Linked DNA regions of Anolis sagrei. The protein of the gene in region 1 interacts with the protein of each later gene in a pairwise test. Links are inferred from orthologs where the notes say so. Each region holds a gene or a part of one and is shown in the gene's direction. Other genes may lie near its edges.

Region 1 (7,903 bases):
TGAACCAGCCTGGACACAGCATATTATTTGAGAACACAGAAATGCTGGACCACACCAACAACCACCATGTCAGACTACACAGAGAAGCCATTGAAATCCACAAGCATGTGGACAATTTCAACAAAAAGGAAGAGACCATGAAAATGAACAAAATCTGGCTACCAGTATTAAAAAACTCTAAAATTATAACAGCTAAACAACAGAGAGGAAAAAACCAGGCACAGATTAACACCTCCCAGCAACAGATTTTCCCAGGCTCAGGCAGGCCTTCAAATGCTAATGAAGGTGATCAGCTAAACATTCACACCTAACTGCAGCAGGGAAGAGCTCCTTGCCCTACCCCAGCCATTCCACAGATATATAAACCCATTTTTCCTACTTCCAGCAGACCTCACAACCTCTGAGGATGCTTGCCATAGATGCAGCCGAAACATCAGGAGAAATGCCTCTAGAACATGGCTCTATAGCCCGAAAAAACCCACAAGAACCTAGTGAATGAAAAGCTCATTCGGAAAGGCATTCGTTTTCAGGAGAGGTGCTCGAAAACGAAAACAGGGCCTTACAAATGAAACCAACTGAAACGGATAGTGATTCTGTACAAATGCAAAAGACTACTATCCACTAGTTTTTTTTAAAAAAAAACTAACTGCTCTATTCTCCACGACCTACCCTAGATTTGAAACCCTTCCATAGCATCAGGCTTCCAGTACTTGTGTGTATTTTAAGTTATACGTTTTAAATTATGAAACTATGGGCTGTTTTAACATGTATTGATATTTTATGTTCTTTTATTTTATAATCAATTTTTGCATGAACATTTTATAGACAGTCATTTTGATGCCAGCCCTTCTGATAGTATCACACAGTGTGCTTTGTACCCCCTACAATCCCCTAGTGATGCCACTTTTCCCTGCCTCGATCCATGGGGAGAGGTGGGTTAAAAATTATTATTTCAATTATGATTAGACAAAACAAGCATTTTGGATAATGGATCCTAAACCTGTGTATTCATAGAAACACTACATCTTTAGGTGCATTATTTGCAATGATAGAATTTGCTCTCTCAAGTAAACAAGGGGGAAGGGACTTGAAGACCTGAACACTGTTCACTGAGTACCTCACAAGCAGCTGAAATTCCCTCCCTCCGCTTCTCAAAAATGTTAATCCCCTCCAGCTAAGCTCTCAGAAACCCCGGCTAGGCTATGGAGCGTGGTTTCTTTGCTCTTCTCAGGCCAGATGCCTGCTCCTCTTCTACCCGCCCCCCTTTCTGCGGCTTGTCTTAACATCACACTGGTGAAATAACATAATTGGCAGGGCAAAGTTGTACCTATTCACCTTATGCTCACCAACGAATGGAAAGAGAGGATGGATCTTACAGCCCAAGGCTCTGCAAACCTGCTCAGTCGTGGGACACCATACACGTGACGTGACTTGCAGCCAAAGGCATTTTTCCTAAGTTTAATCTTTAGCATCTTGCAGCGAAAACAAGGAAATCTCCTGGCACCTTGAAAAATCTACTCCTGTCAGAGAAGACAGACATCTGTCAAATAAAATGTGCTAGTCTTTACATGAGGGATTCATGTTTTAACTGTATGCTGTTAAATCAGAAGCGGGTGTTTTCAATAGCTCCCAGGTTAGAGTAGAAGATAGGATTACTTTTAGCTGTGACCCAAGGGGAGGAAAGGGGATTTCTTCTCAATCCTATTTGCAGTCCCTCAGAAGGAAATTCAAGGCATCCCCCCAAAATGTATACACCCTTTGACAGCTAACAGCAGTTAAAGTGATTATTTGAAGGCCAAGTCAATGATTCTATACTGAAGAAGACATGTTGCCGTAGGGATTTAATTAGTTACCAATCCCATCTTAAATAATAAAGTTGCAAACCTCACCAAGTTTCTCCTGCATTTTTGTAACACATCTCTGTTATTGGAATATTTAATCCTGTTAAGGGTGCACATATTGCTTTGGGGGTTACAAAATAAAATAATCCAGAATTATAAAATGCTATGGATGTATATCCTGAATTATAAAATATTAAGGAATGTACATTTGTTAAAAAAATACAAAAAATACAAAATTATGAGCTGACAAGAGTGTTTATATGGAGGGCTAAATGTATGCAAAAAAATCTGGAAGGATAAATGGTTAAGGATGTCTAACAGGCATGGGCAAACTTCAGGTGTTTTGCTCTTCTCCGAATTATATATTACTCTATTATACTATACCATTATATTGTAATATTATTAGTATTATTACTAATATATGATATCCAGCATATCAGATATTTTCATTACGATTCATAACAGTAGCAAAACTGTGTTGTCAAAAGCTTTCATGGCCGGAATCACTGGGTTGCTGTAAGTTTTTCGGGCTGTATAGCCTTGTTCTAGAAGCATTCTCTCCTGACGTTTCGCTTGCACCTATAGTTTTGAGGTGAAACGTCAGGAGAGAATGCTTCTGGAACAAGGCTATACAGCCCGAAAAACTTACAGCAACCCAGTAGCAAAATTACAGTTATGAAGCAACAACAAAATTAATGTTCTGGTTGGGGGTCAGCACAACAAGAAGGACTGTATTAAGGGTCACAGCATTTGGAAGGCTGAGAAACACTGCTCTAGTGCGACAAAGTAATCACTTCATCACATTAGAGAATGAATCCACTTTAAATCCGGTTTCTGCCTCCTGCAGAATCCTGGGGTTTATAGTTTAGTGAGGCTGTTAAAGGCTTACTAAACTACAAACCCCAGAATTCTGCAGGAGGCAGAAACGGATTTTGTTGTTGTTCATTCGTTCTGTCGTTTCCGACTCTATGTGACTTTATGGACCAGTCCACGCCAGAGCTCCCTGTCGGCCGTCACCACCCCCAGCTCCTTCAAGGTCAATCCAGTCACTTCAAGGATACCATTCATCCATCTTGCCCTTGGTCAGCGCCTCTTCCTTTTTCCTTCCATTTTCCCCAGCATCATTGTCTTCTCTAAGCTTTCCTTTCTTCTCATGATGTGACCAAAGTAGTTCATCTTGGCCTCTACTATTCTTCCCTCCAATGAGCAGTCGGGCTTTATAAGTAGATTTTTTATCCAGTGTGATGAGGCTTTAAGTGTAGCTGGATGAGCGCTCTCTCTATAGGGGAGCAGCAAGAAAATCACACCAAGAAAATCCAGAATATCCAACAAATGCTACTTTCAGCAAAGGACAAGAGGGATCCTCTCACTTCTGCAGGAGTCTGCCGTGTACCATGCAGCTGTGGACAAGTCTACATAGGGACCACCATAGGGACCAACGCAGCATTGCCCAAACACGAATCAAGGAACATGAAAGGCAGTGCAGACTACTTCAGCCAGAGAAGTCAGCCATAGCAGAGCACCTGATGAACCAATCTGGACACAGCATATTATTTGAGAACACAGAAATGCTGGATCACTCTCACAACCACCATGTCAGGCTACACAGAGAAGCCATTGAAATACACAAGCATGTGGACAATTTCAACAGAAAGGAGGAAACCATGAAAATGAACAAAATCTGGCTACCGGTATTAAAAAAACTCTAAAATTACAACAGCACAACAACAGAGAGGTAACAAACAAGGACATCTAATCACCTCTCAACAAAAGTTTGCTCTAGGCACTGTCAGGACATTATATGCTAATCAAGGTGGCCAGTTGAAACATTCACACCTAGCTCCAGCAGACAAGAGTCTTTTGTCCCACCCTGGTCATTCCACAGATATATAAACCCTTTTTCCTAGTTCCAACAGACTCACTACCTCTGAGGATGCTTGCCATAGATGCAGGCGAAACTTCAGGAGAGAATGCCTCTAGACCATGGCCATGGGAGGGCTTTTGCACAATTAAGACTTGTGCGCCAGCTGCGACCGTACCTCGCGAAGGCTGATCTGCCTGGGGTGGTCCATGCCTTGGTCACCTCTAGATTGGATTACTGCAATGCGCTCTACGTAGGGCTGCCCTTGAAAACGGCTTGGAAGTTCCAACTGGTCCAACGGGCAGCGGCCAGGATGTTAACCATGTACCATTACAGAGAGAGGTCAACCCTCCTGTTCAAGGAGCTCCACTGGCTGCCGTTTATCTTCCGAGCCCAATTTAAGGTGCAGGTGCTTACCTACAAAGCCCTGAACGGTTTGGGACCACCCTACCTGCGTGACCGCATCTCCGTCTACGAACCCACAAGTTCACTTTGGTCATCTGGAGAGGCCCTGCTCGTGATCCCGCCTGCGTCGCAAGCGCGCTTGGTGGGGACTTGAGACAGGGCCTTTTCTGTGGTGGCCCCCCGACTCTGGAACACCATCCCAAGAGATCTCAGACAGGCCCCTACACTGGCAGTCTTCAGAAAGAACTTGAAGACCTGGCTGTTCCGATGTGCCTTCTCAGATTAGGAACCTCCAATACCAAGTCCCAGAAGCACTTTAGTAGAACTAAGATTACTGCACACTGCACTCTGCACTTACTTATAATCCTACATACCTCCTGCCACATCAGCACTTTTAATCTTGCACCCATTACTCTGGCCCGGCCCAGTTTTATAGTGTCTTGATGTATTGTTTACTGTTTGTTGTTTATTCTGCTTAACTGTTTTTAATTTGCTTTAGGTATTGTATTGTTGTATTGTGTTTTGAGGCCTTGGCCTGTGTTAGCCGCATCGAGTCCTTCGGGAGATGCTAGTGGGGTACAAATAAAATTAATAATAATAATAATAATAATAATAATAATAATAATGATAATAAATAGCCCGAAAAAACCTACAACAACCCAGCAGCAAGAAAAGCTTCCCTTGTGCAATCCCGCTTCCTGGCCAGAGGAGGCGCGAGAGAGCCAGGTTGGGATGGAGAGAAAGAGCGGAGCGCCTCCCGCGGTGCATTGTGGGCCACGCGCGGCTGTGTACAGGAGCCGCAAAGGCTGCCGGGAAGAGCAGGAACAGCGAAGGAGGCGGCGAAGGAGGAGAAGGAGAAGAAGGAGGAGGAGGCGGCGGCGGGCCCGGCTGGAGGCAGTGACGGCGGGACCCTTCCGGCTCCAAGGGCGGACTCCCAGAGCGGCCTCTCCCGGGCCCAAGCCGCCGCCACCGCCGCGGGACGGAGGCAGCCCCTTCCTTCGGGCGGGAGACCTGGCTGCTCGGACGTGGAGGGGGCGGAGCGCCGGCCTGGGCCTCGTCTCCTCAGGAGCCCGCCCCGGACCCTCACCCACTCACTCCTCGGGCAGGGAAGAGGGCCGGGGAAGGAGGAGAGAGCGGGAGAGAGGAGGAGGAGAAGCCCCCGTGCCTCTTCCCCTTCGGACTCCCTGGCCTCCCTCATGCCCTCGCTTCAGCCGGAGAAAGAGGAACCGCTCTAAAGGCGGCCGAGAGGAGCCGGGAACGCGAAAGGAGGAAAGGACCCTCAGCTGCCTAGCAAGGGCCCCACAGGAGGAGTGCCTTCCCGCTTGGTTCATCGCCTCTGCTCATTTGTACCTCTTGTGTTTTTATAGTCCTGCCCTCATGACCTCAAGCGAGGAGTCTCTGTAACGTGTATTGTTTGTTCGCCATCGTTGGCCCAGAAGCACTGAAAAAACCACAACGCACTGGCTTTCTTCGCTTCTTTGTTGTTGTGTTTTTAAAAGAGTATATTTCTTTAAAAGACCTGTGGATCAGGATGAAATAGGAATCGAGCTGAAGTCTGCGCTCATCGTCTCCATTTGCGAACTGGACTATTTGCTGCTCCTGTTGAAGTATTTTTTTTTTTACCCCTCAGCAGGATTATTTATTGCCTTATGTGAATCTTTGTGGATGTTGTATAGCCTGGTTGGGTGGCTGCTCCACCCTTGGAAATATACTTGGAAATCGTTATGCAAAGTTCCTAAAGAGAGCTGATATTGCTGGAAAAAATACCTTGGCCTCCTAAAACCATTTCTTTTCCTCAAGCAAGGTAAAGGAAAGCAGTGGAAGTCTGTAGTAGTTCAAAGCAGATAATGTAGTTATTGAGAGGCCCCTTCCGTACAGCTGAATAAAATCCCACATTATCTGCTTTAAACTGGGATATAAGGCAGTGTGGGTTCAGGGCCTTTCCACACAACCCTATATCCCAGAATATATGCTTTGAACTGGGTTATCTGAGTACACACATGTAATGAGGGATTTTCTGCCTTGAAATTCTGGGGTATAGTGCTGTGTGGAAGGGCCCTCAGATAACCCACACACGCCCCCCTTCCACACAGCTGAATGAAATCCTACATTATCTGCTTTGAACTGAGATATATAGCAGTGTGGAATCAGGGCCCTTCCACACAGCCCTATATCCCAGAATATCAAGGCAGAAAATCTGCTTTGAACTCGGTTATCTGAGTCCACACACATATAATGTGGGATTTTGTGCCTTGGTATTCTGGGATATAGCGCTGTGTGGAAGGGCCCTCAAATAACCCACACGCCCCCCTTCCCACACAGCTGAATGAAATTCTACATTATCAGCTTTGAACTTGGATATATGGCTGTGGACTCAGATAACACAGTTCAAAGCCGATACTGTGGGTTATTCTGCCTTCCTATTCTGGGTTATATGGCTGTGTGGAAGGGCCCCCAGTTCAAAACAGATATTGTGGGATGTTCTGCCTTGATAGTCTGGGTTATATGGCTGTGTGGAAGGGCCCAGAACAATAACTTGAAATACATTCCACTCTCCATGTGTTGTGTAATAATGATATAATAATACAACTTTATTTATATCCCACCCCATCTCCCCAGAGGACTCTGAGTGGCTTAAACTCTTGTTTACTTGTTGCTGGTTGTTAAGAGTTAACTATAAAGTTCATTTTCATTACTATAGAATCATAAACATATGGGGAGTGGAATTTATCTCATGGAAGGTCCCTTGGCAAAATTGCTAGCTTATGTTTCATGGTGATCATCTAAAGAAGGATAAAGAACATTATTGGAATAGTTGGCTTTAATTGAACGTGGTTTGCTTTAATTAAAACACTCCCTATGTTTGGAAACTGAGATTTGTTCTGGTTGTTAAAAGAATTCTAGTGTTGTACTGAAATGTACAGATACATATACATTTACATTCAAGTTTAGAGACCTCTTCAATCACTGTAATTTTAAAAATCAACTATTTGTTTGCAAGGGCCTTGTTCAGTTCCTCTGATACTTTCCTGGAACAGTTTAAAGGGAGTACTAATACAACCACATTACTTTTTGATCTGCACTACTTTTTAATTAACTTACAATTCTCCACTTTTATTATTCTTCCTCTGATGCCATGTCCTCGAGGCCAAAAATTGTAGTGGTTTGAGTGTTGGACTATGATGCTGGAGATCAGGGTTTGAAACCCTGCTTGGCCATGGAAATTCATTGGTTGATTCAACCTCAGGAAGCCACATGATAAGTTTACCTTAGGCTCATCTTAGGTTGGAACCTACTTGAAGGTATAGATATGTACTACTGATCTAGTGTATATTATTCATTAATCCCAGCCCCATTCTCCCATGTTCTTCAGAACACTACATTATTAAGGACTACTAACTTTCTGCCAGTGTACTTTCTCAGCATGCCTTCTCATGCCTTCTTCTTTCAATAGCATGTAACAAAACATCATAGAGATTTTTATTCTCAAAACTGAAAATAATTTAGCTATTTAGGAATAATGTTTACATTTAGATATTATCAAAATTATATGAATAATTACATGTGACTATAACGCTTTGTAAACTATTATATTAAACCTTCCTCATCCTTTTTCCATTTATTGCAAGCTTTCCTGTAGTTAACTAAGTTGATATTCAGGAACACTTAGAGTGTAGTTTGACACCATATTAACTGCCAAGGCTCAAAGGTATGGAATTCTGGGATTTGTAGTTTGTTGAGCACTGATTGGTAGAGAAGACTGAAGAGCTTTAAAACTACATGCCCCATGATTCCA
Region 2 (7,614 bases), on another chromosome or scaffold:
TCCAAATTTGCTTTGCCATTCCACTATTCTCATAGTTCTGACCAAATATTCTAGCAAATGTAATGCTTAATGGCAAAATAAAACATCTTCATAGGCAAAGAACTTTTACACATGATTGGCCAGAGCAATTGATTAATAACTTTTACAGCTAGTTATGAAAATGAGATTACAATACTTGTAAAATTAACACTGCATTTCTAATTCTCCTGCCTGTGGACAATTTGCACAACAAGCAATTCAGCCGTTCATAATTAACTAGCACATTTCAGTTTCCAGTTTAATTTTCAGTGGTGCATCTTTCTGATTCATTCATTAAAGCTGTACCATTAAATCAAGCACTGAGGTTTTATTTATTTGTATTATTCTCTCCTCCTCCTCTCCCCCCTCCCACTTTAATGGTTTAGTAAATTTTATGAAATGAATTTGCTACAGCCGCTTCTAACACAAAGCAGAGTCACCACTGCTTTTTACAGCATTTTCACTTAATCCTATGTGATTAGTTCTTCAATCTGATGCTCTTCAAACACATGTTGGTTAGGGAATGGAGAAAGTTGCAGTCTGCTGCATCTGGAGGGTATCAGATTTGGGAAAGTTCTTCCAGAGAGATATACAATATGAGTCAAGATCCAAAGCCATCTTAGTGAAGTCAGGGAAAAAAGTTTCCTAGTTTAATTGTACTGGAGTTCTAGTAGTACAGCAGACTCTACATACAGATTCTTGCGCAACCAATTGTGGAATGACCAGTTACATAAAACTCTGCTCTTGTGCCGAGTCTTTAAATGCATAGTGGCCCTTGCTTGAACACAAGTGATATTGTTGGATACAACACACAGTGCCTTATAAATTAATATGATGAATTCATAAAAGTTTAGTTGTATCACATCATGTCAAGAAGCCAGTATGATGTACCAATTTAACTGCTGGACTAGGACTCTAGTAAATTAGAATTTGAAACACTGATCAGCCACGAAAGCCCACAAGATGATCTTGGACTAGTCACAATTCTCAGTCGAAATGAAGGCAATGACAAATCCCTTTAAATAAATTTTGCCACAAAATTCTGTGATACAGTCTTAGGGCTGCCATCAGTCCAATAAGTTGAAAGTAGGAGGGGTAGCTAATACCTCAGAGTCAGAATTCTAATAGATTGGAGAGACATGTCAAAACTAGCAAATTGAATTTCAACAGGGAGAAATGTATGTCTACACTTTGGGCATAAAAAAATGAAATGCACAGATAGAGAATGAGTGACACCTGGCTTGAAAACAGTACACGTGAAGGGTATTTAGGGGTATTAGTAAACCACAAGCTGAATACGACTCAACAATGTGATATGGCAGCTAAAAAAGCCAATGTGATCTAGATGGCAGCAATAGGGGTGCATCCACAATGTAGAATTAATGCAGTTTGACACGACTGTAATTGCATTAGCTCAATGATATGGGATCATGACAGCTGTAGTTTGGTGAAGCACCAGCAGTCTTTGACAGAGAAGGCTAAAGACTATGGGCAACTACCAACTCATATGATTTCACATTACTGAGCCATGACAGTTAAAGTGGTTGCAAAATACTCCAAAATTGCCTATTATAGGTGGCTGTGATAAGAGCTCCTTTTGTTTTCTGATGGTCTAAGGTACACATACTTTGTTTCATGCAAACAATTATTAAAATTGTATATAACACAACGGGATGGGTGATGCCTGGCTCGACAACAGTCCATGTGAATTAGTAGACCACAAGTTGAACACGAGCCAACAATGTTTAAAAGAGATATTGACAAGGTGGAAGGTGTCCAGAGGAGGGCAACTAAAATGATCAAAGGTCTAGAGACGATGCTCTATAAGAAGTGTCTTAAAGAGCTGGGAATATTTAGCCTGCAAAAGAGAAGGTTGAGAGGAGACATGATAGCTATGTATAAATATGTGACAGGCTGTCATAAGAAAGAGGGAGCAAGCTTGTTTTCTGCTGCCCTTGAAACTAGGACTGGAAGCAATAGATTCAAATTACAGGAAAGGAGATTCCACCTGAACATTACAAAGAACTTACTGATAGTAGGAGCTCTTCAGCAATGGAACTCTCTGCGTCGGAGTGTGGTGGATGCTCTTTCCTTGGAAGCTTTTAAACAGACTGGATGGCCATCTTTCGGAGGTGCTTTGATTGTGCTTTTCTTGCATGGCAGGTGGTTGGACTAGATGGCCCTTATGGACTCTTTCAGCTCATTTATTTATTTATTTTGCATATTTGTATCCTGTCCTTCTCATCCCCGGAGGGGGACTCAGGGCGGCTTCACAACAGGCATTCATTCAACAGTAATAAATGATGAAAGCAATTAAAACAATTTGTTAATGCTGTCGCGTTTGCAAGGATGGTGGAACCGAGAGCAAGGCCTCCCTCATTGATCTTAGACTTTGCGATGGGTCATAGGGGGAGATATGTTCAGACAGGTAAGCTGGGCCAGAACCGTATTATTATCATATTATTCTAAGATAAAATATTCATGACTACAGTATTGAGCCATGACAGTTAAAGTAGTGTCAAACTGCATTACTTCTGCAGTGTAGATACACCCATAACCTAGATATTGTGTCTTAGTGCCATGCGTGCACATTTCTTGTTTGAATGGAGTGACCAGGAATATATGGGTTATTGTTATAATCCTTGACATATCCTCATAACCTTACAATAGACATATCTGCTACTTATTCCAAAGCCTGCCCTCTTTTTTTACCTTCTGAGGTCCTCCCTGCTTTAACTTTCCTTCTGTTTAGCCTAAAGACAGGAGATTCACAGCCCTTTTCCCTTCCTTGTTTAACTACTTTGTTGTTGTTCATTCGTTCAGTCGCTTCCAACTCTTCATGACCTCATGGACCAGCCCATGCCAGAGCTCCCTGTCAGCCATCATCACCCCAGCTACTTCAAGGTCAAGCCAGTCACTTCAAGCATAACATCCATCCATCTTGCCCTTGGTCGGCCCCTCTTCCTTTTTCCTTCCATTTCCCCAGCATCATTGTCTTCTCTAAGCTTTCCTGTCTTCTCATGATGTGGCCAAAGTACTTCAACTTTGCCTCTACTATCTTTCCCTCCAGTGAGCAGTTGGGCTTTATTTCCTGGAGGATGGACTGGTTGGATCTTCTCGCAGTCCAAGGCACTCTCAGAACTTTCCTCCAACACCACAGTTCAAAAGCATCTATCTTCCTTTGCTCAGCCTTCCCTAAGGTCCAGCTCTCACATCCGTAGGTTACTACAGGGAATACCATTGCTTTAACTATGCGGATCTTCATTGCTAGTGTGATGTCTCTACTTTTCACTATTTTATCGAGAGTGGTCATTGCTCTCCTCTCAAGTAAGGGTCTTCTGATTTTCTGGCTGTAGTCTGCGTTTGCAGTAATCTTTGCACCTAGAAATACAAAGTCTGTCACTGCCTCCACGTTTTCTCCCTCTATTTCCCAGTTATCAATCAGTCTTGTTGCCATAATCTTGGGTTTTTTTAATGTTTAACTGCAACCCAGCTTTTGCACTTTGTGCTTTCAACTTGATTAGAAGGCTCATCAGTTCCTGCTCGGTTTGGCCATCAAAGTGGTATCATCTGCATATCTAAGGTTGTTAATGTTTCTTCCAGCAATTTTAACCCTGGCCTTGCATTCATCAAGTCCCGCACATCGCATGATAAGGTGGGTATGAAACACACACACACACACACATATATATAGACTGTGTTCTTGTGGGTTTTTTCGGACTATAGGGCCATGTTCTAGAGGCATTTCTCCTGACGTTTCGCCTGCTTCTATGGCAAGCATCCTCAGAGGTAGTGAGGTCTGTTGGAATTAGGACAATGGGTTTATATATCTGTGGAATGGCTGGGGTGGGGCAAAGAGCTCTTCTCTGCTGGAGCTAGGTGTGGATGTTTCAACTGACCACCTTCATTAGCATTTGAAAGCCTGGCTGAGCCTGGGAAAATCTTTTGTTGAGAGGTGTTAAGATGTGCCTGGTTGTTGTTTATATAGACTGTGTTTAGGCTTTTAGCTCCATCTCCAAAATATGAATGTATATTTAGAACTCGCTCTACATCAGGCATGGATAAACTTTGGCCTTCCCTCCAGGTGTTTTGGACTTCAACTCCCACAATTCCTAACAGCCGAATTGTGGGAGTTGAAGTCCAAAACACCTGGAGGGAAGGCCAAGGTTTGCCTATGTCTGCGCTACATTCTCTATTATACACCTAACTGGCCTTCAAATGGGAACCCGAATCGATACCTATGTTCCCATCTTCTTGTTTCTACCTCTTTGGTCTTACTATCCTCCACAAAGGCGTCTCTTCTAGAGGCAAGGAAAGCTACAACCCTACACTTCCGGTACTATGTTGAACATCATTCCAATTTTAGCCATAGGCTGGAAAGAGGAGAATGCTGGGACTTCAGCCCTCCTCTCAGGTGGACTTCAATTCACAAACAGCTGGAGGGAGGGCCGAAGTTTGCGCATGCCTGGTGTTGAGGAACCCTCTCCCACTCTTTCCACGCATATGGCTTCCTCGGGAGTCTCACGCTTTGGTCTGGCTCGATCTCTTTGACCTTAAGCGCGCAGTGATGTCACGTGACAGTGCGCGCTAGCGGGGAAAGATCCGCGTGCGGCTCCGCGCGGGGCATGACGGGACGAAGAGGAAGGAGAGCGCCGGGATGTACCAGAGCAGCACGCAGAGGCGGCGCTGGACCTTCCGCTCCGAGGAGGAGCTCACCCGGCGCCGGGCCGATGCCAACCGCAAGTTCCGCTGCAAAGCGGTGTCCAATGGGAAGGTGAGGGTAGGGAGCGGGGTGGTGGATGGCTTGCGTCCACACTGCAGAATGAATGCGGTTTGACACCACTTTGAACTGCCCTGGCTCCATGCTGTGGAATTACTAGACTTGCAGTTAGTTTGCAAGGCCTTGGGCCTTCTCTGCCTCACCAAACTACAATTCCCAGAATCCCATAGCATGGAGCCAGGGCAGTTCAAAGTGGTGTCAATAATAATAATAATATTATTATTATTAATAATAATAATAGGGTTCTGTCTGGACAAATGTGCCACAGTGGCAGTAAAGTAAGTTAAAATTACACACAGCGAGGGTATAGAGATGCGGAACGGACAAACCATAAAGCCTGAAGCCTATCAATATCTGGCCATACTACAATTTATTTCCTATATTTATTTCCTATATTTATACCCCGCTCTACTCCCCCCAAAAGGAGGCTCAGGGCGGCCTAACAAAAGCATCATACGATGCTAGCATCATAAAAACAACCACAGTACAACAACCACCATGTCAGACTACACAGAGAAGCCATTAAAATCCACAAGCATGTGGACAATTTCAACAGAAAGGAGGAAACCATGAAAATGAACAAAATCTGGCTACCAGTCTCTAAAATTGCAACAGCAAAACAGCAGAGAGGAAACCACCAGGCACATCTTAACACCTCTCAACAGAACATTTTCCCAGGCTCAGCCAGGCCTTCAAATGCTAATGAAGGTGGTCAGCTGAAACATTCACACCTAGCTTCAGCAAAGAGCTCTTTTCCCCACCCCAGTCATTCCACAGATATATAAATCCATTTTCCTATTTCCAACAGACGTCACTACCTCTGAGGATGCTTGCCATAGATGCAGGCGAAACGTCAGGAGAAATGCCTCTAGAACATGGCCCTATAGTCCGAAAAAACCTACAAGAACCTAGTGATTCCAGCTATGAAAGCCTTCGACAATACATTAACCACAGTACAATCAGTTGGACAATATAAAGCATTGGCATGTGAAAAATGCCAATGCAAAGAATATGTCCAAAGAGTCAGAAAGGTTTTGAAGAGTAAACTAAATAGCAGAAATGCAGTCAAGGCTATCAACACCTGGGCCATCCCCTTCATTAGATACACTGCTGGAATTGTGAACTGGACAGAAGCAGAGCTGGATGATCTGGACAGAAAAACAAGAAAACTGATGACAATCCACTACTCTTTACACCCGCGGAATGATGTCGACAGACTTTACCTGCCCAGAAAATGAGGAGGCAGAGGGCTTCTGCAAGTGAAACAAATGGTAGAAGAAGAGAAACATGCACTGGCAGATTATTTGAAAGGCAGTGAAGAACCAACATTGATGGAATTCAATAGTAGTAGAATTGCTGGGAACATAAACCTGCAAAGGTAGTGGAAAATGAACACGCAAAAATACTGTGGGACTTTCAAATCCAGACTGACAAAGTTTTGGAACACAATACACCAGACATTACGATTGTGGAAAAGGAAAAAAGTTTGGATTATTGATGTCGCCATACTGGGTGACAGTGGCATTGAGGAAAAACAGGAAAAAATCAACTGTTATCACGACCTCAAAATCAAACTGCAAAGGCTCTGGCATAAGCCAGTACAGGTGGTCCCAGTGGTAATTGGCAAACTGGTCACTGTGCCAAAAGATCTCAGCCGGCATTTGGAAACAATAAACATCGACAAAATCATTATCTGTCAACTACAAAAGGCCAACTTACTTGGATCTGCACACATCATTCAAAAGTATATCACACAGTCCTAGACGTTTGGGAAGTGTTCGACTTGTGATTTCGTGATATGAAATCCAGCATAGAGATTTTGTTTGCTGTGTCATACTGTGCTTTGTGTCAGTAAAATAATAATAATAATAATTAATAATAATTGAGGGAAGTCAATAGTAGTAAACTGCTTAAAGTGCAAAAGTGAAAAGTGAATACCGTAAAAACACAATCCAGAGCAGAAGAAAAAACTGGCAAAAGAAGGCTCTCCATGGACAGTTCCTGGGAAAAATTGAAAGCCTAATAGACAAAGAAAAAACATGGATGTGGCTCACAATTGTAACTTTGAAAAAGGAGACGGAGGGCCTGATCCTGGCAGCCCAAGAACAAGCCATTAGAACCAATGCCATCAAAGCCAGAATTGAAAAGTCAGCAACAGATCCCAAATGTAGACTCTGCAAGGAAGCAGATGAAACAATAGATCACATCCTCAGCTGCTGCAAGAAGATCATGCAGACAGAATACAAGCAGAGGCATAACACCATTGCTCGGGTGATTCATTGGAACTTGTGTCACAAATACTGTCTGCCTGCAACAAAGAAGTGCTGGGATCACAAGTCAGAAAAAGTTACAGAATGAACACGCCAAACTCCTCTGGGACTTCCAAATTCAGGCTGACAGAGTTTTTGGAGCACAGTATTCCTGACCTCACGGTTGTGTTAAAAAACAAAGTATGGATTGTTGATGTTGCAATCCCAGGTGACAGAAGGATTGAAAAGAAACAAGTGGAAAAGCTGACACGATATGAGGATTTAAACATCGAACTGCAAAGACTCTGGCACAAGCCTGTCAAGGTGGTCCCAGTGGTGATCAGCACACTGGGTGCAGTGCCTAAAGACCTTGGCCTGCACTTAAACACAATCGGCGCTGACAAAATTACCATCTGCAGAAGGCCACCTTACTGGGATCTGCATGCAATATTCACACTGAGTTTAGCGAAATGTACTATTTCATTACTGAGTCTACACAATAATTGCAATTCGTTTTAAATGTTTTTAATGCTTAATATTTATATCTCATAAGTAAAGATAAAGGTT
Region 3 (6,871 bases), about 240 Mb from region 1:
TATTTATTTATTTATTTATTTATTTATTTATTTATGGCATTTATATGCTACCCTTCTCACCCCGAAGGGAACTCAGAGCAGCTTACAAGCAAAAATTAAATACAATATATTATTATTATCATACCACAATATTAATATTATATATTACATTGTACTACTGTAATATTAATAGTATTACATTTAATATAAAATATAATTATAATATCATTTTATTAGTAGTAGTATATTGTATTACATTATAATATCTACATTATGTACAATATTTTATATTATATTGAATTATATTATACTATAAGCACAGTGCAGGAGACAAGATGGAACTACCTTTCTGGTCCCTTTCTTCATTCTGATCTCAGAGCAATATGAGTCTTCACTAACATGTAATGAAGTTTCAATCTGCATTATATGGCAGTGTAGGTGGGGTCTCCATTGGCAAATATGGCAGTGTAGATGGGGTCTGAGTTTGCAACCTTTATTTATTTATCTACCACATTTATATCCTGCTCTTCTCAATCTCGAAGTGGACTCATGGCGGCCTTACAAAGGCAACAATCCAATGCCATATATTAATATATTGGTAAATAAACAAAAACATTAAAACCAAACCCATTAAATCATAGCATTAAAACATAAATTAAAATCACATGACCCAACTTTGAAGTAAACTGAGGAGAAAGGGGGACAGAGTAGGAAAAGGTGAAGAAAGGCAGTATGTTTGTAAAGGAGCTGAAAAAGTGGGAAATCAAAATAGTTGGAGGGGTAACAACATATAGAGAGTCTCACAGATGAAATTCAGAGCTACTATATGCAGGATGTACACAGAGTGTAGGTACTGAAGTTGTGAATAAGCACAAAAGATATCCTAAGAATAATGCACATGTCCACATGTGCTGTTATTTAAGACCCGTGGCTGGGGCAAAAGGAGGATCTAAACCAGTGGTTCTCAACCTGTGGGTCCCCAGATGGTTCGACCTTCAACTCCCAGAAATCCTAAAAGCTGGTAAACTGATTGGTATTTCTGAGAGTTGGAGGCCAAAATACCTGGGGACCCACAGGTTGAGAACTACTGATCTAAATAAATGCAATGATAATATTTGTGTAATAGAATATAATGCAAAAAGTGATTGTGGGCCTTCAAGTTCTCTCCAACGTATGGCAATCCTAATGGGAGCTTGTCAAACTGTTTTCTTTGTCTTCTGAGACTGAGAGATTGTGACTTGCCCAAGGTCACCCAGTGGGTTTCCATCGTCGAACAACAAGTTATGCTCCAATGCTCGGGCCTCTACCTCACACTAGCTCTCATACTTAGTACTGCACATTGAAATATATACATATACATATATATACACACACACAGAGAAAGGAATTTGTTTGGGCTTAATTTGCATGCTGAATGCTAATGCCATGAATGTAACATTTCTAGTAGTGGTGGAATACATGCTTCCAAATGAAGAATGTGGTATATTTGATTTTGTCAGATGAGGCTGGAAATAAGCCTGCTGAAAACCCTGGAGAGTCTAGACTGACTGGCAGCTTCTTCCAGGTTTTAGTAGACACTGCTAAACTAGATGGATCAAGGTCTGAGTTGTTGTAAGGGATCTCCCTATGTTTTACTTTTGTATATGGGGAGATGTGTTATGAAACATAGGAGCATGTATGAACAGGGTTGCACTTGATTGCCTGTGCGAATCCATGGCACCACATGCATTATCATTATGAATAAACAACTATAGGTGAATATTAGAGTGTAATAGTCCCATATTTCCAGGATATAACATTACACGGGCCCTACGATTTCCTGCAAAGTATGGATAACATTGCTTACTGTGTTGCTGTGAGTTTTCTGGGCTGTTTGACCATGTTCCAGAAGTATTCTCTCCTGACATTTTGCCCACATCTGTGGCAGGCATCCTCAGAAGTTGTCAGGTGTATTTACTAAAGTGGTGTTAGAGTTCATTTCGCCTTGACTTACAAACTGACCTAAGGATAAGTCCCATCAAATCCTTAATTTTTTTCTGATTCATGGTCACCCAAGTGTGTCATGGGATTCAAACTAGTTAGCTTGCTAGCAGATCATAAGTAACTTACCACGAGGAAGTGATCTTTGAAGTAGATTTCAGGGTTTAGTTTCCTTTTCATTCATTCTTCGCCAACTTCCATTCAGATATGTTAGATGTGGGATAAATAAGAGTTATGATAATACCCAGAAGAGGTCCCTGAAGGTGCATCTACACTGTAGAATTAAAGCAGTTTGACACACTTTAACTGCCATGGCTCAATGCTGTAGGATAATGGGAGGTTTAGCTTTACGAATCCCATGATTGCTGTAGCATTGAACCATGGCAAACTGCAATAATTCTACAATATAGATGCATCCCAGTTGGGAAAGGTAGAGTAAAGAATTCTGCTACTTTTTATAGGCTAGATAGGAACCTCCCTCACCTTGAAATTCCTACCCTTTTGTGGCTAAACCTGCCTGACTTAACTTCAGCCTTCCAGGACTTTGCTTTGTCCTCTCATGGACTGTCTCTTCTACTCACAGGTAGAGTAATAGAGTTGGAAGAGACCACATAGGCCAGGGGTTCTCAACCTGTGGATCCCCAGGTGTTTAGTCCTACAACTCCCAGAAATCCCAGCCAATATACCAGCTGTTTGGATTTCTGGGAGTTGGAGGCCAAACATCTGGGGACCCACGGGTTGAGAACCACTGACAGAGGCCATCTAGTCCAATCTCCTACCATGCAGGAAATCACAGAGTATCCCTGACAGATGACTATCCAGCCTCTGTTTAAAAGTTTCCAAGGAAGGAGCTTCCACTACACTCCAAGGCAGAGAGTTCTACTATTGAACAGCTTGTGCAGTCAATATGTTCTTCCTAATGTTCAGGTGGAATATCTTTTCCTATAATTTGAACCCATTGCTCAGAGTCCTAGTCTCAAGGGCAACAGAAAACAATTGTGCTCTCTCTTCCTTATGACTCCCTTTCACATATTTATACATGGTTATCATGTCTCCTCTCAACCTTCTCTTCTGCATGCTAAACATACCCAGTTCAAGATGCTCCAGATCTTTGATCATTTTAGTTGCCCTCTTCTGGACACCTTCCAGTTTGTTGATATCTCTTTAAAACTGTGTTGCCCAGAACTGGACACACTCTTCTAGGTGAGGTCTAACTAAAGCTGAATAGAGGGGCACCATGATTTCTCTTAATCTAGACCAGTGGTTCTCAACCTGGGGTCCCCGGATGTTTTTGGCCTTCAACTCCCAGAAATCCTAACAGCTGGTAAACTGGGATTTCTGGGAGTTGTAAGCCAAAATACCTGGGGACTCACAGGTTGAGAAGCCACTATTCTAGGTGAGATCTAACCAAAGCTGAATAGAGGGGCACCATGACTTTCCTTGATCTAGACCAGTGGTTCTCAACTTGTGGGTCCCCAGATGTTTTGGCCTTCAACTCCCAGAAATCCTAACAGCTGGTAAACTGGGATTTCTGGGAGTTGTAAGCCAAAACATCTGGGACCCGCAGGTTGAGAAGCACTGATCACTATATTCCTATCTGAGCAGCTAAAAAATCCCATTGGCTTTTTAGCTGCTCACTACAGGTGATACGTCGCAGCTTCCTTAGTTTATTCCCTGACCTTTCTCTGGATCTACATTGCCTAAATAATAGCTTCCTTCCTTCCCAGCATGTCCTTGGTTTGACACATAAGTCCTTTTCCTTCCAAGGAGCAGTTAGCAGAGGCTGGAGAGCTCTTCAAAGGGTTGTATTCCTTTGCAGTTAAAGGGGTGGTTTCCCCCATTCAGTGGGAGGGAAGGGGTGGGCTTAAGAAGTCAGATGCCTTTTCAGAAGGGAAAGAGAATGGATCAGGCCAGGGGCGCTGCTTAGAGGATGCTCAGTGTGTTTCTGTACAGAGACCTTTCTCTTGTCCTGGGAAGAACATCCCTCTCGGGCAGCCACTTGTGGAGCATGGTATGCTATCGAAGTTGTTCCTGGGGGAAATGTCGTTTTTTGTGGTCACTGGAATTCCAGTTTCACAATATTTGTCTCATTTGGACGTGAACCGTAATAAGTCCTTAATGGAGCAACTCATCTGTAAATGCTCTTTCTCTTCTTTGTGTTTCTCTTTCGTTTCATCCTCCAGGACCCTCCAAAATCGACCAAAAGCACTACAAAAGCTAGTAGCAGCAGCAGCAGCAGCAGCAGTGGTAGTGGCAGCAGTGGGACCGGGAAAGATGGCAGCACAGAAAATTCAGAAGAGGTAGGATACTTATTCTGCAAAGGATTATATGTTGTGCATTATATACCGGTTAACATTGAGTTAAATTAAAACTGATTAGCAGGAAGTGTCTGTTTTTGAACATAATTTTTTTCAGGGTGGGGTTGGGAGCAGCAACTGTTGCGTATTGAGTAGACGTGTATGTAGGATTGCACCGTGAAAGTGCTTAGTTAGCTTGCCTGGAAGCAAATGTGTATTGTTGATGCATTTGTTTCTTCTTAAAACAACAAGTGTGTGCACGTCTGTGAGTATACAGATCCAACCAGTAGTCTAAAAGATGAGAGGATTTGTGGCATGTCTTAATGCATTTATAATTGTTTTAATGTATGCTAAATGTATATTATGCTTTGTTTTTATTGTTTGGCACTGAATGGTGCCTGTTGGTAGCCGTCCTGAGTCCCTCTTTGGAAGTGAGAAGGACGGGATAGAGATGCTCCTAATAATAAATAAACAAATAAATAAATTTCAGGATTTTTAGAGTTAGCAACTGAACTCAATAACAAATTTATAATGAGGGGTGGGTAACTGGAGGGTAGAGAGTTGTATTGGGACCTCCTAGAATATATTTCAGAAGTCTCTAATGAAGTAGTGGATATGCAGAAATACTCCATGCTTATAAGATCTTCCAGGCACTTGATTCCCTGCCACTGCTATAGTTTAGGTTGAGTATTTCTTACCTGAAGTGCTTAGGACCAGAAGTATTTTAGATTTTGGAATCCCTGTATTTATGGAGGACAATAGATCATGACCTGTCAGGATTGCTGTCCATTGGCGTATATAGATCATAAACTGTTAAGATCACAACCTAATTATGGTAGCAATTCAGAGTTTATTGTCGGAGGCTTTCATGGCCAGAATCACTGGGTTGTTGTAGGTTTTATCGGGCTATATGGCCATGTTCTAGAGGCATTCTCTCCTGACATTTCGCCTGCATCTATGGCAAGCATCCTCAGAGGTAGTGAGGTTGTTGAAACTAGGAAAATGGGTTTATATATCTGTGGAATGACCAGGGTGGGACAAAGAACTCTTGTCTGTTGGAGCTAGGTATGAATGTTTCAACTGACCACCTTGATTAGCATTTGATGCTAATCAAATTAAAACAATTAAAATTACAACAGCAAAACAACAGAGAGGAAACAATCAAGGGCATCTAATCACTTCTCAACAAAAGATTGCCCCAGGCACTGCCAGGCCATCAAATGCTAATCAAGGTGGTCAGGTGAAACATTCACACCTAGCTCCAGCAGACAAGAATTTTCCCAACTGGGAAACCCATTTTGTGGTGCCAGAACACAGTCTGTTCAGCGCCTTCCAAGTTGGCCAGTTTTTTGTGTGCCCAGGGGGGAGTCCCTCATTTGGTATCAGCCATTGATTGAGGTTCTGGGTTTGAGCCTGCCACTTTTGGACTCTCACTTGTTGGGGTGTTCCAGCAAGTGTCTCTGTAGATCTTAGAAAAATATTTCTTTATTTAAGTCGTTGATGTGCTGGCTGATACCTAAACAAGGAATGAGCTGGAGATAATAATAATAATAATAATAATAATAATAATAATAATAATAATAAACAACTTTATATATAACTTATAGCAGAAGTATGCTAGAGGACCTAGAAAATGGTCAGAAAGGTCAAATTTAGGCATTGCTCAGTTCTCTAGCATAACTTTGGTCAACTTCCAGTGCACCACCTCGAGAATCTTGGAAAGGACATATTTTGTTAGAGATTGGTAAATGAAACCACAGGTTGCAGTCCTGGATATATGGGAATCATACTGAATTATTATGAATTGTTTGCATCTCATGGGAGATATAATTAAGTAGAGTGAGAGCAAAAACCTGTGGAAAGTTAAAGGAACATAAAAGAGCAGTCTGGTCCAATAGTTTGTTTATATGCTAGTTACTAAAGGACCAAGTGGCATGCAGTTTTAGTGGCAAATAAATTCAAGGAATGGGGCATGGTTTAAAAGAGACATACTGAGATAATTGATTGTGACACAGAGGAGTAGCATTTTGCAGACTTTCTTTCATAGTCTGCGCATGAATAGCAAGGTGTTAGATTCCACCCCCGTTGCTGCTGAAACTCAAGTAATTGTTAATATCTCTTATCTATATCTGCAGAGCACAAAAGATCAGAATATTTGTTCTTTTCTTCAGCTTGTAGTGAAAGGAATACTACAGCATTCTGTATCAATGCTAAATATAATACTACATCTTTACTACAGGTAGGGTATGCAACAGGTGTATTACAATTGAGTATGAGACCATGTGCACTGCAGAATTATAGTAGTTTGACACTTCCACTGCCAAGGCTCCATCGTATGGAATCCTGGGATTTGTAGTTTGTTGTGTCACCAAAATTATCTGACCGAGAAGGATAAATATCTCACAAAACTACACATTCCAGAATTCCATTTCATGAAGCCATAGCAGTTAATGTGATTTCAAGCTGCTATAATTCTGCAGTGTGGATGCAGCTGATATATAAATGGTCACGATAGTCTCTTTGATTTCTTTCTCCTGAACCTTTTAGAGGGGTTTGTAGCTTATACAGTTCTCCTGCTGCTGCTCAGTGGCTGCTTTCATTTGTCTCTGGAGAGT
Region 4 (7,109 bases), on another chromosome or scaffold:
TGTCTGGAGCTTGCTTCTGCAGCTTGTTTTCTTGCTGCTGTTTGCCTTCTTTCTGGATAAACTTCAAAAATATTACTTGGCACTGTTGGGGGTTTAACGGATGAACAGTGTGGGGTCCTGCAAAATTGATTGGTTTTCACAGGATCTGTCACATTTGAGGGCACTGTGGCTCTCAGTCTCTATTTGCCATGAGATGTTGCAGGGCAAGTCCCTAGAAGATGCATTGCCTCCGTTTTGATAGGAAAAAAGGGCAGTTGTTGCTACTGTATCTGCTTGCAGTTCATAATAACTGTTTGTGATGCCATTGATGTTTAGGCATAGCCATCATTCTTGTTCCAATCTACTCATTCTGTTCTAGTGATTCTTCTCCTGCACTTTTAAAACTGGGCAAATGCAGGATCTCGTTGTTGTGTGCAACCCTGTCCTAGGACTGTCTTTGAGAGAGGTTTGCCATTTCATTCCTCTTAGGCTGTGAGACTATAAGTTGCCCAAGGTGCCCCACAATCCTAGTGCAACATTCAAACGGCACAACACTGGTTGAAGTATAGGCCACGGTGTCCAAAATCTTATTACTGTCTCCCAAAGCTTTATTTTTTACTTTATTCTCAACCTAAAAATGGAAAATAGAATGTCAGTGGACAATAAAAGAGATTTAAAGATGGGCTTAAATCTAACCTTAATAAGCATGGCATAAGCTCCAAGAACTGGGAATCCCTGGCACTTGTGTGTTCCAACTGGAAACCAGCTGTTCCTAACAGTGCCATGGCTTTCGAAGAGGCACAAATATGGGGCAAAAGGAACATGCCAAGAGGAAGAAGGTATGTCACGCAAACCATTGCTGTCACCACCTGCCATCTGGAAACCTATGTCTTGATTGTGAAAGACCATGTGGATCCAGGTCTTCACATTCACTTACAGACCCACCACCAAGACTCTACCTCTGGAAGACAATCATATTCGGCCATGAGTGATTGCCTATGAAGATGATTTGTTGTTGTTTATTCGTTCAGTCGCTTCCGACTCTTTGTGACCTCATGGACCACCCCACGTTAGAGCTCCCTGTTAGATGATAGAGGAGTAAAAATTTTTGCTGGCATTGAAGCAACCCCTCGGCATATCAGAGATAATCCATACTCCTTGATGGATTGTCACCTTAATGTGGTGAGGGGGTTTGCGTGTTCCAGTGAACCTGTGGGTGTAACCACTGGAGCCATGCACTTTTCAGGGGGCTGCAGGGGAGATTCCAGACCAAGCACAATCCGAAGACCTCAACAGCAGATCAGACAGAAGGTAACATGGTACATGTTACAATGGGTGTGAAGGTAGAAGAAGGCTGCAACAGATTGAGACGCCCCCATCATGTTAACCATGTCACTGGTTGGGACCCTCACTCTGTGAAGGCTGTGTGTTATGGGCAGTGTGCCAACCTCCACACATTTAAAGAACTCTCACACAGGTGTCTTCCAAGAACTTTGAAGGCCATCATACCCAGAAGGCCTCATCACATCCTCTTTGAATATGGTTGATGCCTCCTGCAGAATGCTGGGGTTTGTAGTTTAGGGAGGAATCTTTAACAGCCTCAGTAAACTACAAACTCCAGAATTTTGCAGAAGGCAGAAACCAGATTTAAAGTGGATTCCTTCTCTAGTGTTATAAAGTTGTCAGGCAACGAGGGATTGCTTAAGTAGAGATAGAGGGGGCCTCCAAAGAGTTTTGCCCAACTTCATACATTTAGTTGCTCTTTCTTTGTCTCCATCCATCTCTCCTTCCTTCGACTCTCTGGCTCTTTCATTTCAAAGGCAGTTAAGATGCAGATCTCTATAAAAGTGTACACTTTCGGCCCCGAGGCTCAGCAAGCCCCAACAAGCTGGAAAGTGTGTGTTAACACAGTTGAAAGAAGCTTGGGTTTTAAAGACTTGCTTCGAAACCCGACATCAATGTAATTGCGATGGGTAATGGGTGCTTAAATTATTTATTTGTGGCGGCACAAAATGATGCACGTGGGGTGTGTGTGTCTTTCTGCGTGGAGCCAACACATATGTAGCTAGGAAGCCCATTCCCAGAGGAAACAGCCTCTCTTCTTGACAGAAAACTTCACAAAGCAGGCTGCTTAGTGCTTTCTCGACTTTTGTTACCTGTCTTTGGCAAGAGAGGCTTGAGCAAGGCGGAGCCCCGGCGTGTCCAGTGGGAAAGCAGCCCTGCCTCCCAGCTTGGCCTTGCAAAGGAGGAGTGGCTGAAGAAAAAAAGAAGAGAAAGAAGGGGGGGGGGAGAAAAGGTGGTGCTAGATGTGTCTGACTGGTTCCTCTTACAAATGTGCTCACCTTTCGCCTCGAAGCAGTTGGCACCTATTGCTGACGAAAATGCCATGACTCAGTGGAGGCAGCTGGAGAGGGAAAAGAGCCAGTCAAAAGGACAGTTTAACCCAGGTATAGGCCGACTTGGATCCTCCAGGTATTTTGGACTCCAACTCCCACCATTCCTAACCGCCTCAGGCTGAGGCGGTTAGGAATGGTGGGAGTTGAAGTCCAAAACACCTGGAGGCCCCAAGTTTGCCCATACCTACTTTAACTTGTCTGAATCAACCCCCTGGCAGTGCTCTCTCTCTCTCTCTGTATACAAACAGAGGCAAGGGTCAGGGTCACAAAGGTGTTTTCCCCTCCTCGCTGTAGACTAGAGAAGGCGCCCTGCGGGTTACAAAACACCAGTAATAAAAAGAGGGTGGATGGAGTAAAGGGAGAGGGAGTATGGTGTGAAAACAGAAGGCAGGCAGGCAGGCAGAGAAGAGGGGCAAAAAGGGGGGAGGGAAAATAGTTGGTGGAAAGGAGCCAGTGCTGGCTTGAGACTGAATGGTGGCCAAGCTGGTTCCAAGGGAGGGAAAGGAGGCCCCCACCTGACTCGCGAGGAAAGATGGCTTTTGAAAGGGGATCCCAGGCTTTCCACGCGCAGGAGGGAGGGAGGAAGGAAGGAAGGCAAGAAGGAAGGATGAAGGAAGGAAGGAAGGCAGGCAGGCATGCAGGCAAGAAGGAAGGAAGGAAGGAAGGAAGGAAGGAAGGAAGGAAGGAAGGAAGGACGGAACGAAGGAAGGAAGGAAGGAAGGAAGGAAGGAAGGAAGGAAGGCAGGGAGGGAGGGAGGAAAAAGATAGGGAAGGAAGGAAGACAGGGAAGATGGATGGATGGGAGGAAGGAAGGAAGGAAGGCAGGCAGGCAAGAAGGAAGGAAGGGAGGAAGACAGGAAAGATGGAAGGGAGGGAGGGAGGAAGGCAGGCAAGAAGGGAAGGGAGGGAGGGAGGAAGGCAGGCAAGAAGGAAGGAAGGCAGGCAGGCAGCCTGAGCAGCAGGTTTCCCCGGCTGGAAATGGGTTTCCCTTCCCTGTAAAAAAGGGGCGGGGGGGGGGGGAGGGAAAAAAAAAAAAGAGAGAGAGAGAGAGAGGAATGCGTGTTAGCGAGACCCTGGAAAGGTGAGGCGCGCGGGAAGGGGGGGGGGAGTGTGTATAGGTGTCTATACAATCCGCATTTATGTACATATGCAAAAGAGGACCCATAGAATTGGTGTAGAGAGAACACAACTCTTCTATTATTATTATTATTATTATTATTATTATTATTATGTATTGAAGGCAAGCGCTTGTGTGTGTGTGTTTGGGTGGGTGGGTGAGCGCGCGCTCTCAATCTGGAGATTGAGAGAAAGAAGGAAGGAAGGAAGGAAGGAAGGAAGAAGAGATGAATGGAGCTGGTGGTGGTGGTGGTGGTGCGCGCGGGGGTCGCTCCAAGGAACGCAGAAGGTGACGGGAAAGAGAAAGAAGACGAAAGGAAGCAAAAAAAGGGGGAAAGAGAAAGCCCAAGGTAGCAGGTGGGAGGGAGGGGGGGGGGAGAAGAAAGAGAGAGAGGGAGGGAGGAGGGAAAGGAGGGCTCTGCGGGCGGGCTGCTGGGTTGGCTGGCTGGCTTGCTGAGTGAGGGAGTGAGTGAGTGAGTGGCCTCGGGAGCGCGCGGCGCGTCCCCGCTCCAAAGGCGGCTGTGGCGCTGCTGGCGGCTCTTTCTTTAGTCAGTGGAAAGAGAGAGAGAGAGAGGAGAGCGTGCGCATTGCGTGGTCGCGCGCGCAGAGGGAGTGAGTGCGCGCGAGCGAGAGAGAGTGCGCGCGCGTGCTTCTACCTCTCTCTCTCGCTCTCCCGCGTCCTGCGTGTCTGGAGAGCGAAGGGGCTCCGGGAGCTGCCGGCGCGTGCGGGCGGGCGAGAAAGAGAGAGCAGGAGCAAGCGAGGCATCGTGGCGGAGCCCGGCGCCGGCGGCTGGTGGGTCGGTGGGCCGGAGCTCCAGGCGAGGAGGGAGCATGCGGGCGGCGGTGGCAGCGGAGCCCCGGGCGCGCGTGGTGAGTGAGTGAGTCCTACCCTGGCTTCTCTCTCTTTCTCTTTCTCTCTCTTTTCCGCCGCCTGTTGAGTGCGCCTGGCATCCCTGCTGCTCTTGCGATTTCCCTTGGATACAACAAGAAGTTGACCCCGGATCCCTCTTGCCTTGACTTCTGGGGCGCTCGCTCCCCTCCAGGACCCCGTCGCCGCTCGGCTTGGATTGTAGGCGAAGCTTCCCTTCCTCTTCCTCTCCCTCTTCCTTCCTCCCTCCCTTCCTCCCTCCCTTCCTCCCTTCCTCTCCCCTTCTTTCATTCCTTCCTTTCTCCCTCTTCCTTCCTTCCTTCCTTCCTTCCTTCCTCTCCCTTTCCATTCTTCCTTCCTTCCACTTCTCCTTCCTTCCTTCCTTCCTTCCTTCCTTCCTCTCCCTTTCCATTCTTCATTGCTTTCTCTCCCCCTTCCTTCCTTCTTTCCTTTCTTCCTCTTCGCTTTCCTTCTCCCCCTTCCTTCCTCTCCCCCTTCCTTTCTTCCTCTAACCCTTCCTTCCTCTGCCCTTCCTTCCTTCCTCTCCTTTTCCTTCCTTCCTCTCCCCTTCTTACCTGCCTACCTGCCTGCCGCCATTCCCGCTCTCTTCCTTCCTTCCTTCCTAATCCCACCCTTCTTCTCCTTTCCCCTCTTGCCCCGACTACCTTGTCTTTCTTTTGTGCTGTTTATAGTTGACATGGCCACTTGAGGACCTGTTTGGGAACTGTTGCATGGAAAGGGCATGTGCCTTTCTTTCCCCCTCTCCCTTTGCACTTCCTGGCAGGGCATATCAACACCCCCCCTCCCCTAAAAGTCAAACCATGGCGTTGGTTGCAGATAGATCCTCATGAAAAATGCCTGGCCGAGAGCTCTCTGGGTCCCTCTTCTCTTTTCCTTGGGGAGTTTGCAACCCACCCAGAGCAAGGCTTTGCAGGGAATCAAGAAGGAAAGTGGTCGGAGTGTTTTGTTTTGTTTCCTCATACCTTGGAAAGGTAGACTACATTTCCTTTTTTTGCATATTCATTAATGCAAGTGGCCTGCTGACCTTTCCCACTGGTGGAAGACGTAATGCACACACACAACATGGGTAAGAAAAACTAGGCTGGCTGTGTATTTTTAGCCCTGATCCCTCTGCTTGGCTTTACCTGCGGTGCCTGCCTACAATCTCAGGCTTTTCTCGGCCAGGAATGTGGCCTCGCCTGCTTCTCCGCCCAGAGAGCAATGTTTAGAAACAAAAATCTTTGGATTTCCTCCCAGGTTTACCTTACAGTCTGGAAAAAAAGAGAGAGAAGCAAAGGACTCTAGGAGCAGCCCTTGAAACCAGATGCTTTGCTCCATGCCAACTCCCCCCCCCCCTATTTTTTTTTTAATTCAAAAGACAAACCAATATTGTTTTGGGGCTTCCCTCCCCCCCCCCATCTTTTCTTACCCTCCTTCTCTTCCCTTCGCTTTGTTCTTTTTGACTGCAGATTGATGGAAAGGAATGAGAGGAGGGGAGAACAACAATGAGCTTCTTGGCTTTGCTGGAACTGGTTTGTGGTTTTGGTCTCACAGGCTGGTTTAGAAAGGTGCCTTTTTCACTTCAAAGTCTGAAAAAAACGTGGCATTGGAAAAACATCAGAAAGACAATCAATATTATTATAATATAATATAATATAAAAACTCCACTTGCCTATTTTCCAACACATCACAGCCTCTGAGGATGCTTGCCATAGATGTGGGTGAAACGTCAGGAGAGAATGCTTCTGGAACATGGCTATACAGTCTGGAAAACTCACAGCAACTCATTATTATTATTATTTGCTTCAACAGTTGGTTGTTTGCATTTTGCCACTTTGCTTCAAAAATAATAAAAACAGCACTCCCTAAAATTTTGGGGAGCTTTGTGATTTCTTAGGATTTGGCTATTGTGTTGCTCGGATTCAGGTTTCCGTTCCTGGGGGAAAAAATGTTTGCGGACAAAAAAGAAACAGGAGGCAGCCATGTTAAATAGTCCGTTGGCAGTGAGGATTAATTACCGGGCAAAGTTTCTCTACATTGTGAGTGTGTCAGGTGTTGGGGACACAACCACCGTGGCGTTTTTGTATAGAATGGAAACAGTGGAAGGTTCCTCCTTGGAGAACAGCCCTGCCACTGTAAATTCTCCTTATTCTTTTTGCTTGAATATGCTTGTGAGCAAGATTTAAACTTTTGCCCCCTGTTGGACTGGCAGGAATGCTTTAAAGGAGAAGAAAAGGGCCCTTTTAAAATGCAAATAGTGTAGGCACTTTGTCAGCCGGCTCCCACTCAACCTGTTGGTTCCTTTTAAAGCGATGACTGGCAGATTGCATGAAATCCCAATACTGCTTCTGAATATCAGGATCGAGAGTCACAGTTTTAGTCTTACACTTCCCCTTCAAAAAAATAATAATATCCTTTTGTTGTTATTATAAGGCTGTGCAAGAAATGAAATACAGGATACATTCATAAAAATGAGTGTACTGCACTGACTGAAATATTAATCATAATAATAATCTTTATTTGTACCCCGCCACCATCTCCCCAAAGGGACTCGGGGCAGCTCACAGAAGCACTCCCAAGTACCATGTGCAGACAACAATACATAAATATAAATACAATGACATAAGTATAATCAACGGCACATAAAAATCTCATTGACAAAATTACAAAATTTTGAAAATTATAGAATTCCTAAAAGAAGGAAATAATGAATGTGTGGAACTCATGGTTATTTCCGAGCCCCCGGTGGC

The links.
Region 2: the proteins of PPFIA1 (region 1) and CCNH interact in binary tests that used the Homo sapiens proteins (3 or more experiments, as listed by UniProt). The link is inferred for Anolis sagrei from reciprocal best matches to the Homo sapiens genes PPFIA1 and CCNH.
Region 3: the proteins of PPFIA1 (region 1) and PPP2R5D interact in binary tests that used the Homo sapiens proteins (3 or more experiments, as listed by UniProt). The link is inferred for Anolis sagrei from reciprocal best matches to the Homo sapiens genes PPFIA1 and PPP2R5D.
Region 4: the proteins of PPFIA1 (region 1) and PTPRF interact in a two-hybrid assay, tested with the Homo sapiens proteins (2 studies listed by BioGRID). The link is inferred for Anolis sagrei from reciprocal best matches to the Homo sapiens genes PPFIA1 and PTPRF.

What each region holds. Positions count from the first base shown.
Region 1 is NC_090021.1:267,212,263-267,220,165, forward strand, and holds the start of PPFIA1 (liprin-alpha-1), read left to right. Parts: upstream 1-4,889; 5' UTR 4,890-5,911; intron 5,912-7,903. UniProt on the Homo sapiens protein: May regulate the disassembly of focal adhesions. May localize receptor-like tyrosine phosphatases type 2A at specific sites on the plasma membrane, possibly regulating their interaction with the extracellular environment and their association with substrates.
Region 2 is NC_090022.1:258,125,252-258,132,865, forward strand, and holds the start of CCNH (cyclin-H), read left to right. Parts: upstream 1-4,593; 5' UTR 4,594-4,675; coding exon 4,676-4,792; intron 4,793-7,614. UniProt on the Homo sapiens protein: Regulates CDK7, the catalytic subunit of the CDK-activating kinase (CAK) enzymatic complex. CAK activates the cyclin-associated kinases CDK1, CDK2, CDK4 and CDK6 by threonine phosphorylation.
Region 3 is NC_090021.1:24,509,462-24,516,332, forward strand, and holds the start of PPP2R5D (serine/threonine-protein phosphatase 2A 56 kDa regulatory subunit delta isoform), read left to right. Parts: upstream 1-3,862; 5' UTR 3,863-3,889; coding exon 3,890-3,970; intron 3,971-4,142; coding exon 4,143-4,259; intron 4,260-6,871. UniProt on the Homo sapiens protein: The B regulatory subunit might modulate substrate selectivity and catalytic activity, and might also direct the localization of the catalytic enzyme to a particular subcellular compartment.
Region 4 is NC_090024.1:182,583,718-182,590,826, reverse strand, and holds the start of PTPRF (receptor-type tyrosine-protein phosphatase F), read left to right. Parts: upstream 1-4,105; 5' UTR 4,106-4,361; exon of another isoform or gene 4,362-4,369; intron 4,370-7,109. UniProt on the Homo sapiens protein: Possible cell adhesion receptor. It possesses an intrinsic protein tyrosine phosphatase activity (PTPase) and dephosphorylates EPHA2 regulating its activity.